Macaca mulatta: one gene and its partner. The protein of the gene in region 2 purifies or fractionates together with the protein of the main gene of each other region. This does not show direct contact. Links are inferred from orthologs where the notes say so. Each region holds a gene or a part of one and is shown on either strand. Other genes may lie near its edges. The genes, in order: TIMM13 and AFG2B.

What was found.
Region 1: the proteins of AFG2B (region 2) and TIMM13 purify together in Homo sapiens (co-immunoprecipitation; 3 studies listed by BioGRID and IntAct, with this or other methods). This does not show direct contact. The link is inferred for Macaca mulatta from reciprocal best matches to the Homo sapiens genes AFG2B and TIMM13.

Annotation. Positions count from the first base shown.
Region 1 is NC_133424.1:3,171,307-3,177,918, forward strand, and holds TIMM13 (mitochondrial import inner membrane translocase subunit Tim13), read right to left. Parts: upstream 4,034-6,612; 5' UTR 3,849-4,033; coding exon 3,729-3,848; intron 3,641-3,728; coding exon 3,572-3,640; intron 3,364-3,571; coding exon 3,265-3,363; 3' UTR 2,640-3,264; downstream 1-2,639. Other genes in the region: TMPRSS9 (transmembrane protease serine 9), read left to right, coding at 443-611, 1,303-1,568, 1,655-1,791, 2,234-2,395. UniProt on the Homo sapiens protein: Mitochondrial intermembrane chaperone that participates in the import and insertion of some multi-pass transmembrane proteins into the mitochondrial inner membrane.
Region 2 is NC_133412.1:22,721,424-22,728,270, reverse strand, and holds part of AFG2B (ATPase family gene 2 protein homolog B), read right to left. Parts: intron 3,323-6,847; coding exon 3,164-3,322; intron 1-3,163. UniProt on the Homo sapiens protein: ATP-dependent chaperone part of the 55LCC heterohexameric ATPase complex which is chromatin-associated and promotes replisome proteostasis to maintain replication fork progression and genome stability.

The DNA of each region.
Region 1 (6,612 bases), on a different chromosome or scaffold from region 2:
TCTTTTCACAGCTGTGTTCTGAGGAAGGCCTTTGCACTTGGCACCGTCTGGGGAGGGCTCGGAGGCCATCAGGGATCCAGGCAGAGTGCCAAGGCAGGGCCGGGGCCTCTGGGTCAGGGCCCTGGTATGTGCAAAGGCCTTGGGGTGGGAGGGAACTCCTGGAGGACGGAGATGTGGGAGGCTGCCATGAGAGGGGCTTTCGGGGAGAAGGTGTCTTCCCAAAGCTGAAGTCACAGGACACAAATGCATTTCCAATGTTATTTGAGAAAAGCCCAAAGACCAAGCAGCAGGCCCAGCATCCTTTCCTGCCGAGTTTTCCTGGGGCAGGTCCGCCCTCGCATCCGAGGCTCCCAGGGGGATTCGCGGAGGGGCGGCGCCCTGGGGGGCTTCCTGGAGGAGGCGCCCTGGGTCCACCCGCCCATGCGCCTGGCTCCCCCCACAGACTGCGGCCTGGCGCCGGCGGCGCTCAGCAGGATTGTGGGCGGCAGCGCAGCGGGCCGCGGGGAGTGGCCGTGGCAGGTGAGCCTGTGGCTGCGGCGCCGGGAACACCGCTGTGGGGCCGTGCTGGTGGCAGAGAGGTGGCTGCTGTCGGCGGCGCACTGCTTCGACGTGTGAGTCCCAAACGCTCCAAATGCCCCTGCACGTGTCTGTAGCTCACCCGGAACCGAACTGTTGCCCGAAAACGCACGGTGACACCCTCTTTTGCCGGAGTGCCCTCCCCGACCCCCGCTCCCACTGCCCCAGGCTGCTCCTCCCACCCCCATCCCCACTCCCTGCAGCCCTCCCCTGCCCACCCCCCCCTCAGCCTGACCACCTGGGTTGTCCTACCCCGCGGTCCCCACCTAACCCGGGGGCTGCAGCCCCTCCCAGCTCCAGGCCAAGCCCACGGGGACATTGGGGTCACTTCTTTCCCCAGCCCTCGCCCCTGGCACTTAGCTCCAGCCCCCGCAAAGCCCGCCCAGTAGAAAGCTGTCCTCCCCAGGGCCCAAGCCCTGGCAGGAGAGGGGTACGGTATTCCAGAGGGGACACCCAGCTCCGGGCCCTGCGGGGCTCGAGGTCAGAAGGGGAGCGGGGGGCGGACCCTCACGTCCACCAGTATTTTCAGAGCGCTAATATTAGGTGGTGATGACTGCAATCCTTGGTGCTGCCTCGGTGCCTGGTGGGGGACACTGAGCCCATTCCCAGACTGGCAGCCAGAGACCAAGAGGCCAAGAACCCTGGTCGGCCCCTGGGGGACACCGCAGGGGCAGGGGCCGGGGGCGCGGGGGCTCTGGCCGACGCCTGTCCTCGCGCGCCCTCCAGCTACGGGGACCCCAAGCAGTGGGCAGCCTTCCTAGGCACGCCGTTCCTGAGCGGCGCGGAGGGGCAGCTGGAGCGCGTGGCGCGCATCTACAAGCACCCGTTCTACAATCTCTACACGCTCGACTACGACGTGGCGCTGCTGGAGCTGGCGGGGCCGGTGCGCCGCAGCCGCCTGGTGCGTCCCATCTGCCTGCCCGAGCCCGTGCCGCGACCCCCAGACGGTGCGCGCTGCGTCATCACCGGCTGGGGCTCGGTGCGCGAAGGAGGTAGGCGCGCCCGGGGCCGGGGTGGTGCGGGGTGCAGGGCAGCAGCCGGAAGGGGTCCCCACCCGCCCCATCTCGCTCGTCCGCAGGCTCCATGGCGCGGCAGCTGCAGAAGGCGGCCGTGCGCCTCCTCAGCGAGCAGACCTGCCGCCGCTTCTACCCGGTGCAGATCAGCAGCCGCATGCTGTGTGCCGGCTTCCCGCAGGGCGGCGTGGACAGCTGCTCGGTGAGCCTCGGCCCGGCCTGGGCGACCAGGGGCCCAGGTCCCGCCCAGCCGCCGGGGAGGGAGGGTTCCCGCTGCCACGAAGCCCACCGTCCGGGCGCCACGCTCCGGTGCAGACTTCTCCAGAGGATCAGGCAGGGGGCCTTTTTGGCTCTGGAGGAATTTCCACTCCACAACCGTTTATTGGGTACCCACCGCATCCCACCCCTGGGCCTCAACGGCAGAGCAGGCAGAGGCTGCAGCGGGAGGCCCCATTCCACTCCGGGACCACGTGGCGGGTGTCCATCAATGTCTGCCACCTTTGCATTGAGCCCATTTTCCAGATAGTGAAAATGCAGCTTCCAAGGGAAGCCACTCACTACGGTCACCCCTACGGGGGCCAATGACCCAAGGGCTGCTGTAGGGGAGGTACCAGACTCTGAACCCCCGCTTCTCTCCCCATCAGGGTGACGCTGGGGGACCCCTGGCCTGCAGGGAGCCGTCTGGACGATGGGTGCTAACTGGGGTCACCAGCTGGGGCTATGGCTGCGGCCGGCCCCACTTCCCAGGTGTCTATACCCGGGTGGCAGCTGTGAGAGGCTGGATAGGACAGCACATCCAGGAGTGACCGCCACGTGATTGCCCAGGCCGGGACTCTAGGAGAAAGCAGCAGGAGCAGCAGGCCACCCAACACCCCACCTCACTGTACCCTACCCAAGGACGGGAGTGGGGGGGGGGCTGTGGGTCATGGGGATGCATTTTGGTAGCACCCTTTGTTCCAATAAACACAACTGCTCCACCCCGGCTCACTGGCTCAGCACCTCAGTGTCACAGCGCGGACCACCTGCCTGGCGCTCCAACAGGACCCGGGTGGAAGGAAGAGGAGTCAAAGCAAGCCTGGACAAGGGGAGGGCTGTCCCCCTTAGCCTTTGGGACAGGGGTGGTGGCAACAACACATTCCTCGTGACTCAGCAGCCCGGTGGCACTTAAGGGGAAAGATGGACTTCTCCCAACCCAGGAGAGGCTGAGACCCTCCGAACTGGGGTTCCAGGGACACGCGTCAACTCTTCCCAGAGATCCCTCAGGAGGGAAATAAAGAGGTTTCTCTCCGCCCTCCACCAATTTATTTGCCCATCCGCAGGAGGTGACAGCTCCGGTGGGGTCTGACCACCCCCACCTCCAAAGTCCAGACAAGAGTTCTCCGCCCAAAAAATATGAGGCTGACCTGGGCCCACTAGGGGAAGACCCCAAAGGCCTGAAGGAGGTGCCACTGGGCTGCCAGCACTTTGGGAAGGCACAGGGCCCCCCCACCCCCGAGATCCAAGCTGCACTGGCTGGCAGGGGGCAAGGCGGGGGGTGGCGAGGACACAGTCCCGTCTGTCCCAGCACCGGTGCCACCCCGCTAAGCCCCGGGCAGGCAGTACGCACATGCGGGCCCCGCCTCTCAGAGCACGTTTGTGGAAATGAACGGGGCGGGGCGGCCCACGGGCTTGCCAGTCACATGTTGGCTCGTTCCCGCTGCAGCCGCGAGTTGTAGGCGCGGGACACGGTGTTCCAGGCGTCCATGTAGCGGTCCATGCACATAGCGATGCACTTCTGCGGGACCGGAGGGGCGCACGGCTCAGCTCGGGACCTCGCGCCCCCGGGGACCTCCCTCACCCCGGATGCAGGCCGCCCGGGCTGCAGAGTGCACGCGTGCGGTAGCCACTCCGCCGCGCCGCCTCGTTAGTCTGCGCACGCGCAGACGCCTCCCCCCCGAATCCAGACCCTCGCGACCCTTGCCCCGAACCTCTGCGGGTCTCACCTGCTCGGAGTTGTCCAGAGAGCCCCCAGGTTTCCCGATACACTTCCGGAAACACTTGTCCGTCATCCTCTGTGGAGACACGCGAAGCTTTAGCCGCGACGTCCGCCCCCAGGGGTGGCCCTGTCGCCCCAGCGCCCGTCCCCGGCCGGCCCCGCACCTGCAGCAGCTCCTGCGCGTTGGCCACGGCGATCTGCACCTTCACCTGCTCCATTATGAGCCCTGGGTCCAGCTTTCCGCTGCTGGAGCCCCCGAAATCGGAGCCGAAGCCGCCCTCCATGGCTCCGCAAAGTCAACCGGACCGAGGCCGCGTGCGCCGACCCGTAGCTGCGCCGGAAGCGGGCCTCCCGGGGCACCACGGGAAACGGAGTCCACGTGGGCGGGGACGGAAGACTACAACTCCCACAAGACCGCGCGCGCCCGGGCCATTCCAGGTCGCGCGGGGGGCCCTCTGGTCACGCGCCGGCCTGGACCTGCCGTTACCTACAGAAGCCGTGGTTGCGACTCTGCGGGAAGGCGGCCGACTTCGCCCGGGGAGTGGGGGGGGCCACTGCGTGCGGCCGAAGCCGATCACTTTGTACACAGGATCGGTCTCCGGCTCGTCCCACCCAGAGGCCTGCCGCGCATGCGCACGAGGCAGCCGGCGCGTCTATATGACGTGTTGCTGCCGGGGCGGAGCCCGGTCTCATCACATGATGAATGATGAAGAGTCCACTGGTGCTACAGCGTCGGAGGCTCACTAGAAAAAACGGGCAGGGTCTCATGCATCACCTGGGGCCTGTGTATACTCGCCAGTCACCTTTTCCTTGAGGGTGGAGGGTTTTAGACATCCGCTTCATTGGGGACAGAGGCCCCGGCTCGAGCTTCCCCGCGCAGGAATAAACTCAAGAGACAGAACCTAAAATCAAAATGTTTATTGGAGTGTTGTACAAAAGTTTCCAGTCATAAAATGTATATTACAAATCATTGGAAAAAAAAAAAAAAAAGAACACCACATTTGGCATGCATCTTCTTAAAAACCGAATCTCGGAAATGAAAGTCCATGCCAGCCCCAAGGCTACAGCCCAGCTCCGTTTGCAGGTTGTGCTGTGACGCTCGCTGGACGCAGGGCTTGGAAGACGCTGCAGGCGGCGACGCCCCAGGACTGAGTCCCTTGGATCTTTAACAAGGAACTGCCCCGTGCAGGCCTCAGACCAACCCCAGCCAAAGCCGCTGGCATGAGGACAGGTGCATGATCGGATTCTGGGTCAGCCCGCAGGCCTCCTGGCTCCTGGGCTCAGCGGGGCAGGCTTCCGCGTTAACCTTGGGCTGTGCACCCCAGAACCCGCGTTGGTCCAGCAGCCGTGGGCCTCCCCCCAGGGCTGGGCGGCGTCTGATGCTTCGCAGGGAGGGCGCTAGGCTTGGAGTCACAGCATGGGCTTACACAGAGGGATGGTTTCGCATCGTTCTAAGCGGCACACAGCTAAGCGTATTTGGGGACAAATGCAAATTGTTTCCCAGGCCATAAATAACTTCTAAAACTTTGATTTTCTTAGTGTTTCCAAAGACTCAATTCTCAATGAACCTCCAATCACCCACAGGATGCACAGTCCACACCTCTCCCCACTCCCTTCAGCTAAGGGCACCTGCAGTCCTAGGACCACCCTCAGCCTCCACCCAAGGCAAATGTAGGGCGGGGGGTTCTGTGGACCTGGGGCGTGCTGTGTTCAGGACAGGGCTGGGCAGTGTCTGGACACCAGGACCTGCCGGTTTTGGGGGGGGGACTTTGTCCCTGAGCCCAGCCTGTGAAGCTGTCAGCAAATTGCAGACCAACTCCAGGATACAGCTTTGCTCCCCCAGGCCCAAAATACGTAGGATGTGGCTGAGACCACTGCATACTCTGCACAGGACAAGACCACCAAGACCCACCCCCGGAACACTCGCTGGCACGAAGCCTGGCCACTGGAGTCCAGGTGACTCCTGCCATGAAGGTGGGGAAGAGGAGTCTGTCGCCAGCACTCCCACTTCCAGCGGCTGGCAGAGGGTATCCCTGGGGTGGGCAAAGCTCCCCACCAGCCACCTGACTGGGAGCACAGCGTGGTAGCCTGTCGGGCCCCTCCAGGAGGAAATGCTTTGGTAAGACACGCCCCCCTTGATCCACATGGGACAGGGACTTCTTTTTTTTTTTTTTTTTTTTTTTTTGAGACGGAGTCTCGCTCTGTGGCCCAGGCTGGAGTGCAGTGGCCGGATCTCAGCTCACTGCAAGCTCCGCCTCCCGGGTTCACGCCATTCTCCTGCCTCAGCCTCCCGAGTAGCTGGGACTACAGGCGCCCGCCGCCTCGCCCGGCTAGTTTTTTGTATTTTTTAGTAGAGACGGGGTTTCACCGTGTTAGCCAGAATGGTCTCGATCTCCTGACCTCGTGATCCGCCCGTCTCGGCCTCCCAAAGTGCTGGGATTACAGGCGTGAGCCACCGCGCCCAGCCGGGACAGGGACTTCTGAGAGCAAGGACAGCGAGCGGGGGCTACATGGAGCAGCGGGTGTTTCTGCTTTGTCAGCCGCTGGCTACTTCCCGGCCTGGGGCTGGGGACCCCCATTCCTTCCTCCCACTGGCAAGTCCCCAGGGAGACGGGATGCACAGTGACAGGGGAGCAGTGCCGCCCCCAACCTGCCAAGGCCTGGAGACGGCGCGTGCCAACGGCTCAGTTTTGGTGGCTTTAAGACTCGAGCTGCACTTTCTGAAGGAGGCTTTGCTGTCAGAGTGACCCCCAGTCCCACACCACCCCGGGGAGGAGAGTCAGCCTGTCCTCAAGGCCCTGGCGTGAGCTCCTGACCTGCGTACTGACTAATGTAAAAAAATAAATATCCATTAAAAAAATAACTTCTGTGTATCTATGAGGGAGGGTGTAAACGGTGAGCTATTGCCAAAGGGGGTGCCAGGCGTTGGGAAGCTGGACTGAGGGGCTTGGGGGCGTCGTGATAGGAGTCAGGTGGCCTTGGCCTATCTGAGAAACATGGCTTCAGCGAGAGAATCACAGATGAAAGTTACAGTATGGATAGATAGAT
Region 2 (6,847 bases):
TTGACATCTCTGGGGTTATCCAGTAGGCAGGCAGTGAAGTAGTTCTGATGATTAGAAGAAACGTCTACTCTAGATAAACAGATTTCTGAGTCAACAGTTTTCAGGGGTCAGTTGATGCTACGGACATCAAGATCATCATAAAACCACCCACAGCTCCAACAAGAGGACTCCGGGAGCCTCTTGAGCACTAACATTTAAGGCAGGGGAGAGGGGTGCCCAGAAAGGCAGAAAAGCTTAATGTCTCAAAGCAAAGGAAACAGAGTGCTTCCAAGAGGAAGGTGTGGCTAATTTCTCTCATGCATCTTGTAAAGATTAAATAAGACAATGCATAAAAAATATTGGCACCTATTATAAATGCTCTTATCCATGGACTCAAAAATTCTAGGGTTCACTGGAGATAGAGCTCCTGGCTAAGATGAAAAAATTATAATTATTACTTATATATCAGTCTGTTATGTGTGTGGTTAGAGAAACCTAGTTCATTAGGGCAGGATCACATGTAGGCGAATTGGCAAAATCAATTTCTGAAACTGTAATGCAGGTGAGAGGATCTGAAGAGTTGCGATCTGGAGTTGTGAAATCCACTATCAGGTAACCATCTTGTTCATTTCAATTTTGTGCTTTTACCAGTCCCTGTACTACGTCCATTTAATGTCTTTTAGATCAGATATCCAGGCAAACTAAGGCCTTCCACCTATATTTGGTACAGCCAAACTAAGAAGAATTTTTACATTTTTAAATGCTTGAAGAAAAATCAAAAGAATATTTTCTGACATGTGAGAATTATATAATTTCAGTGTCCATAATTTTATCAGAATACAGTTACTCATTTACATATGGTCTACAGCTGCTTTGGTGCTACAATGGCAGAGATGAGTGGTTGTGAAGTTTAAAACATTTACTGTGTGGCTCTCTCTACAGAAAATTTGCTGACCCGTTTTAGATTATAAATTGATTTTTCTTTTTTTTTTTTTTGAGATGGAGTCTTACTCTGTCCTAGGCTGGAGTGCAGTGGTGCGATCTCAGCTCACTGCAACCTCTGCCTCTTGGGTTCAAGCGATTCTCCTGCCTCAGCCTCCCGAGTAGCTGGGATTACAGGATTGCGTCACCACACCAGGCTGATTTTTGTATTTTTAGTAGAGACAGGGTTTCATCATGTTAGCCACGCTGGTCTTGAACTCCTGACTTCGTGATCCTCCCGCCTCAGCCTCCCAAAGTGCTGGGATTATAGGTGTGAGCCACTGCGCCCGGCCTATACATTGTTTTTGTTTTTTTGAGATGGAGTTTCACTTTTGTTGCCCAAGTTGGAGTGCAGTGGTGCAATCTTGGCTCACTGCAACCTACACCTCCCGGGTTCAAGCAATTCTCCTGCCTCAGCCTCCCGAGTAGCTGGGATTAGAGACACGCGCCACCATGCCTGGCTAATTTTTTGCATTTTTAGTAGAAACGGGGTTTCTCCACGTTAGCCAGGCTGGTTTCTAACTCCTGACCTCAGGTGATCTGCCTGCCTCAGCCTCCCAAAGTGCTGGGATTACAGGCATGAGCCACCGTGCCCAGCCAAAATTTTTTTTTATATTTTTTTAAAGACACAGGATCTCACTCTGTTGCCCAAGCTGCAGTGCAGTGGTGCAATCATAGCTCACTGCAGCCTCCATCTCCTGGGGTCAAGGCTCAAGTGATCCTCCTGAGTAGCTAGGAACACAAGCAGTGCCACCACACCTGGCTAATTTAAAAAATTTTTTTGTAGGCCAGGCATGGTGGCTCATGCCTATAATCCTAGCACTTTAGAAGGCCGAGTTGGAGGACTGTTTAAGCCCAGGAGTTCAAGGCCAGCTTGAGTAGCACAGTGGGACCCTATCTCTACAAAAAATTTAAAAATTAGCCAGGCGTGGTGGTATGCACCTGCAGTCCCAGCTACTTGGGGGGCTGAGGCAGAAGGACTGCTTGAGCCCAGGAATTCAAGGGTACAGTGAGCTGTGTTTGTGACACCATACTCTAGCATGGGTGACAGAGCAACCATGTCTCAAAAAAAATTTTTTTTGTAGAGACAGGGAGTCTTACTATGTTGCCCAGTCTGGTCTTGAATTCTTGGCCTCAAGAGATCCTCCTGTCTCGACCTTCTGAAGTGCTAAGACTACAGGTTACACACTTTGTTTTTTTCTCCCCAGACAGGGTCTTTCTCTGTCACCCAGGCTGAAGTACAGTGGTGGGATCTCGGCTCACTGCAACCTCCGCCTCCCAGGTTCAAGTGATTCTCCTGCTTCAGCCTCCCAAGTAGCTGGCATTATGGGCACCTGCCAGCATGCCCAGCTAATTTTTGTATTTTTAGTAGAGACAAGGTTTCACCATGTTGGCCAGGCTGGTCTTGAACTCCTGACCTCAGGTGATCCACCCGCCTCAGCCTCCCAAAATGCTGGGATTACAGGTATGAGTTACCATGCCCAGCCTTAGGTTATGAACTTCTTCTTTTTTTTTTTTTTTTTTTTTTTTTTTTTGAGACGGAGTCTCGCTCTGCCGCCCAGGCTGGAGTGCAGTGGCCAGATCTCGGCTCACTGCAAGCTCCACATCCCGGGTTCACGCCATTCTCCTGCCTCAGCCTCCCGAGTATCTGGGACTACAGGCGCCCGCCACCTCGCCCGGCTAGTTTTTTGTATTTTTTAGTAGAGATGGGGTTTCACCGTGTCAGCCAGGATGGTCTTGATCTCCTGACCTCATGATCCGCCCGTCTCGGCCTCCCAAAGTGCTGGGATTACAGGCTTGAGCCACCGCGCCCGGCCATGAACTTCTTTCTTTTTAAATAGAGACAAGGGCTTGCTATGTTGCCCAGGCTGGTTTTGAACTCCTGAACTCAAGCAATCCTCCTCCCTTGGCCTCCCAAAGTGTTGGGATTATAGACATGAGCCACCACACCCAGCCTTAGGTTATAAACTCTTTAAAGCAAAAACAAAAAAAGAGAGGGTCGAGGTGGGAAATTATAAAAACCAATTTAGACATCCATAGAAGTCCAGTTAAATAAGGACTGAAAAGCAATCATTGGATTTAGATGTTAGGATCACATTAGTGATAGCAGAAAGAGTAGTTTCAGTGCAGTATGTTGTCATCATAAATGCACAGAATGTTAATCTGTAATATCCTACTGGATTAAGTAGATTATCTGTCTTACCTGTTTTAACTTCAGTTTTACATCTTCAAGGCCACCAATCTGCTCCCAGTCAACAGGCTTGATATCCATCAATCCAATGACGCTTCGAAACGATGAGGGTTGAATATTTTTAAAAGCTTCAAGGAAGTCTGTTTCATCAATCACAGGATCGTCCTGGTTCTGAAGAAATACACCCAAAACATCAAAATTAAACCAAAAATTAGGTTGGTCTTTTTTTATAGCACAATTCGTTTTTTAAATCTTCTTTTGGATTTGTAATTTTGTTATTATTATAAAAACAATTTATATAAATAGTACAAAGAATAAATGTCTCCCTGCCAATTCCCGCCAGTTAATTCTTCCCTGAAAGATGTCAACAGTTTCTTGTGATTCTTCCAGTATGTTATGATAATAAGCATACAAATATCCTTTTAAACAGATACACAAATAGAACCATACTATATCAACCTGTACTTTTCTTCTTTCACCTTTTCATGTCAACTAATATAGTTCTTTTCATGTCAACTAATATATATCTTTTCATGTCAACTAATATAGTTCTACGTCATTCTTTTTGACAATTCCATAATACACTACTGAATTTACCCCAACTACACCTTTCTGACAAACATTAGGTCATCCCCAGTCTTTTGATATTAAAAACAAAGCTGCAACTGAAAAAGTCTCCTTGCTCATGTTCAAGTATTTGTTTGAGACAGGGTCTCACTCTGTTGCCCAGGCTGGAATGCAGTGACATTATCATAGCTCACTGCAGTCTCCCAGGCTCAAGTAATCCTTGCAACTCACCCTCTGGAGGAGCTAGAACTACAGGTGTGTGCCACCAAGCCTGGTTAATTAATTAATTTTTTTTTTTTTGAGACGGAGTCTCGCTCTGTTGCCCAGGCTGGAGTGCAGTGGTGCAATCTCGGCTCACTGCAAGCTCTGCCTCCTGGGTTCACGCCATTCTCCTGCCTCAGCCTCCTGGGTAGCTGGGACTACAGGCACCCACCACCACGCCTGGCTAATTTTTTGTATTTTTAGTAGAGTTAAGGTTTTACCGTGTTAGCCAGAATGGTCTCGATCTCCTGACCTCGTGATCCGCCCGCCTCAGCCTCCCAAAGTGCTGTATTACAGGCGTGAACCACCACGCCTGGCCAAAAAATAAAATTTTTTTTTTTGGGTACAGACGGGGTCTCCCTATGTTGCCCAGGCTGGTCTGGAACTCGTGGGCTCGGGCAATCCTCCCATCTCAGCCTCCCAAAGTCCTGGGATTACAGGCATGAGCCACTATGTTCAAACTCATGTTCAAGTATTTTATGTAATAATTTCCTCAAAGTAGAATTACTGGGTTTATAAGTACACACATATACATTGACAGCTATTACCAAATTGTTCTCTAAGGAAGCTGTATCAATTTACTCTCCTTCAATAAAATGAAGCTGTGTTCTCTCCACACCTCTCCAATACTGGACATTAACAAACTCTCTCTCTCTCTTTTTTTTTTTTTTTTTTGCGGAGTCTCGTTCTGTCACTCAGGCTGGAGTGCAGTGCTGTGATCTTGGCTCCCTGCAGCCTCCACCTCCTGGGTTCAAGTGATTCTCATGCCTCAGCCTACCAAGTAGCTGGGATTTACAGGCATGCGCCACCACACCTGGCTAATTTTTGTATTTTTAGTAGAGATGGGGTTTTCCCATGTTGGCCAGGCTGGTCTTGAACTCCTGACCTCAAGTGACCCACCTATCTCAGCCTCCCAAAGTACTGGGATTATAGACACGAGCTACTGTGCCTGGCCAATTACCAAACTCTTAAGTGTCTGCCAATATGACAGAAGAACCAGTACTCATTCATTAGTGTGTTAACTAAATTTCTTCAATTCAGAATGAGGTAGAGGGAATACTGGAATTAGAAAAATTGCCTTTTTTGCAATCATGATATTAAAGGCTGTTATGAGCAAGAATTGGATGCTACATTGAGGGGAGTTTATTCTTTTATGAGACAGGGTCTTGCTCTGCTGCCCAGGCTGGAATGCAGTGGCATTGAGGCAACAGCTCACTGAGCCTCGAACACCTGGGTTCAAGTGATCCTCCTGTCTCAGCCTCCCGAGCAGCTGGGACTACAGGCATAAGCCACTGCGCCCAGCCTGAAAGTTTGATGAGGAGCAGGATATCTCCAAGTGTCTCCCCATAGATTTCTCATTAGTGGCAAAGGGAAAAAACAGCAGTTACACAGTGGAGAAACTGCACACCACCTGAACTAGCTGACAAAAATTAGCATCACCAATGAGGAACCAATGAACACCTTGTGCCTCCACATGTGAGGCTCTAAGGATACAATACTATACATGACCATACTGTGGTGACATACAGGAACATTGCTGTCCTTAGGAAATAGACATTAAAATGTTAAGGGATAAAATGTTATGATATATGCAACCCATTCTCTCAAATGGTCCAAAATAAATAAATACTATGTGCATATAAATATATATATACAGAGATGAGAGAGAGAAAGAGAAGAGGACGAGAGGGAGCAAGAAAGACAGCAAAAGAGAATGATAAAGCTTATTTGGCAAAATGTTAAAAATTGGTGAATTTGGATAAAAGGTTTAGTGGAAGTTCTTTGTAACTATCTTGCAACTTTACTATATGTTTTAAATTATTTCAAAATAAAGACAATAATTTTAAAAGAAATCAAGGTTGAAGATTTTTCGTGTTTACTGACATTCCTTTTATTGTCAACTACCTGTTCATATCCTATTACCCATTTTCTCTTGGACTGTTGGTCTATTCTCACTGATTTGTAAAAGTTCTTTCCAAATCACAGAAATTGGACTAAAAGTATTTTTCCTAGTCTGACTTTATAGTATTGTTTGCCACCCCCAAATGGTCAAATCAGCAAATAATTTCCCTTAGGGTTTATGTTATGCCTAGAAAAGTCATCTTCACTCTCAGCTTATATTTTGGAGACTTTTTACACTCTCCTTGATCATTCTAGTGAAACACATTTTTGTTAGTTAAAAAGTCCTCAAAATTTTATTAAAAATGTCTGTACTGTATTTATTAAAGTATTTGCCCTCTTATATCTAATTCTAAACATCTAGTTGTCCACAGATTCCCATTTTCATAAACAAACTGTCTTGTCTTATTTGTGAACTGATGTGAAGTGAATCTGTATGTATAGAGCTATTCCGTATTCTCCCAAAAGTGTTAACAATTGTCATCTCTGGAAAGTGACATTTCAGGTAGGCAGTTCTTTATAATTTTCTATCTTCATTTCTCATGAATAACACTATCACATACTTAAAAAAATAGCCTTTTTAACTGGCTGACAGTATCAGATGTTAGGTGTCTGATGTCCAAATACTAACTAATCTTTAGGTAACACCAACTAGTATTTGAAAATCTCATTTATAGTTCCAGATCATGTGTGTACACATTATTTTACTTGATTCTTTGGGCATATACATTCTTTCCCCTCTGTGTATGTGTGAGTGTTAAACTACATTTCTAATCCTTTAATAGGAATAGTTCACAAAAAGTTTAACAAACTGTAAGGTATCCCTTATCTGCCCTGGCATAGGTAGAGGTAGGGGAAGCCCCTCAGCTGGTGGGGGAAAGAATAAAAGACGGAGCCAGTACCTTCCCAGTTGTCTCTGTCCCTTCATCCTTTTTGCCTTTCTTCCTTCCACTTCCCCTTGGTTGTTTC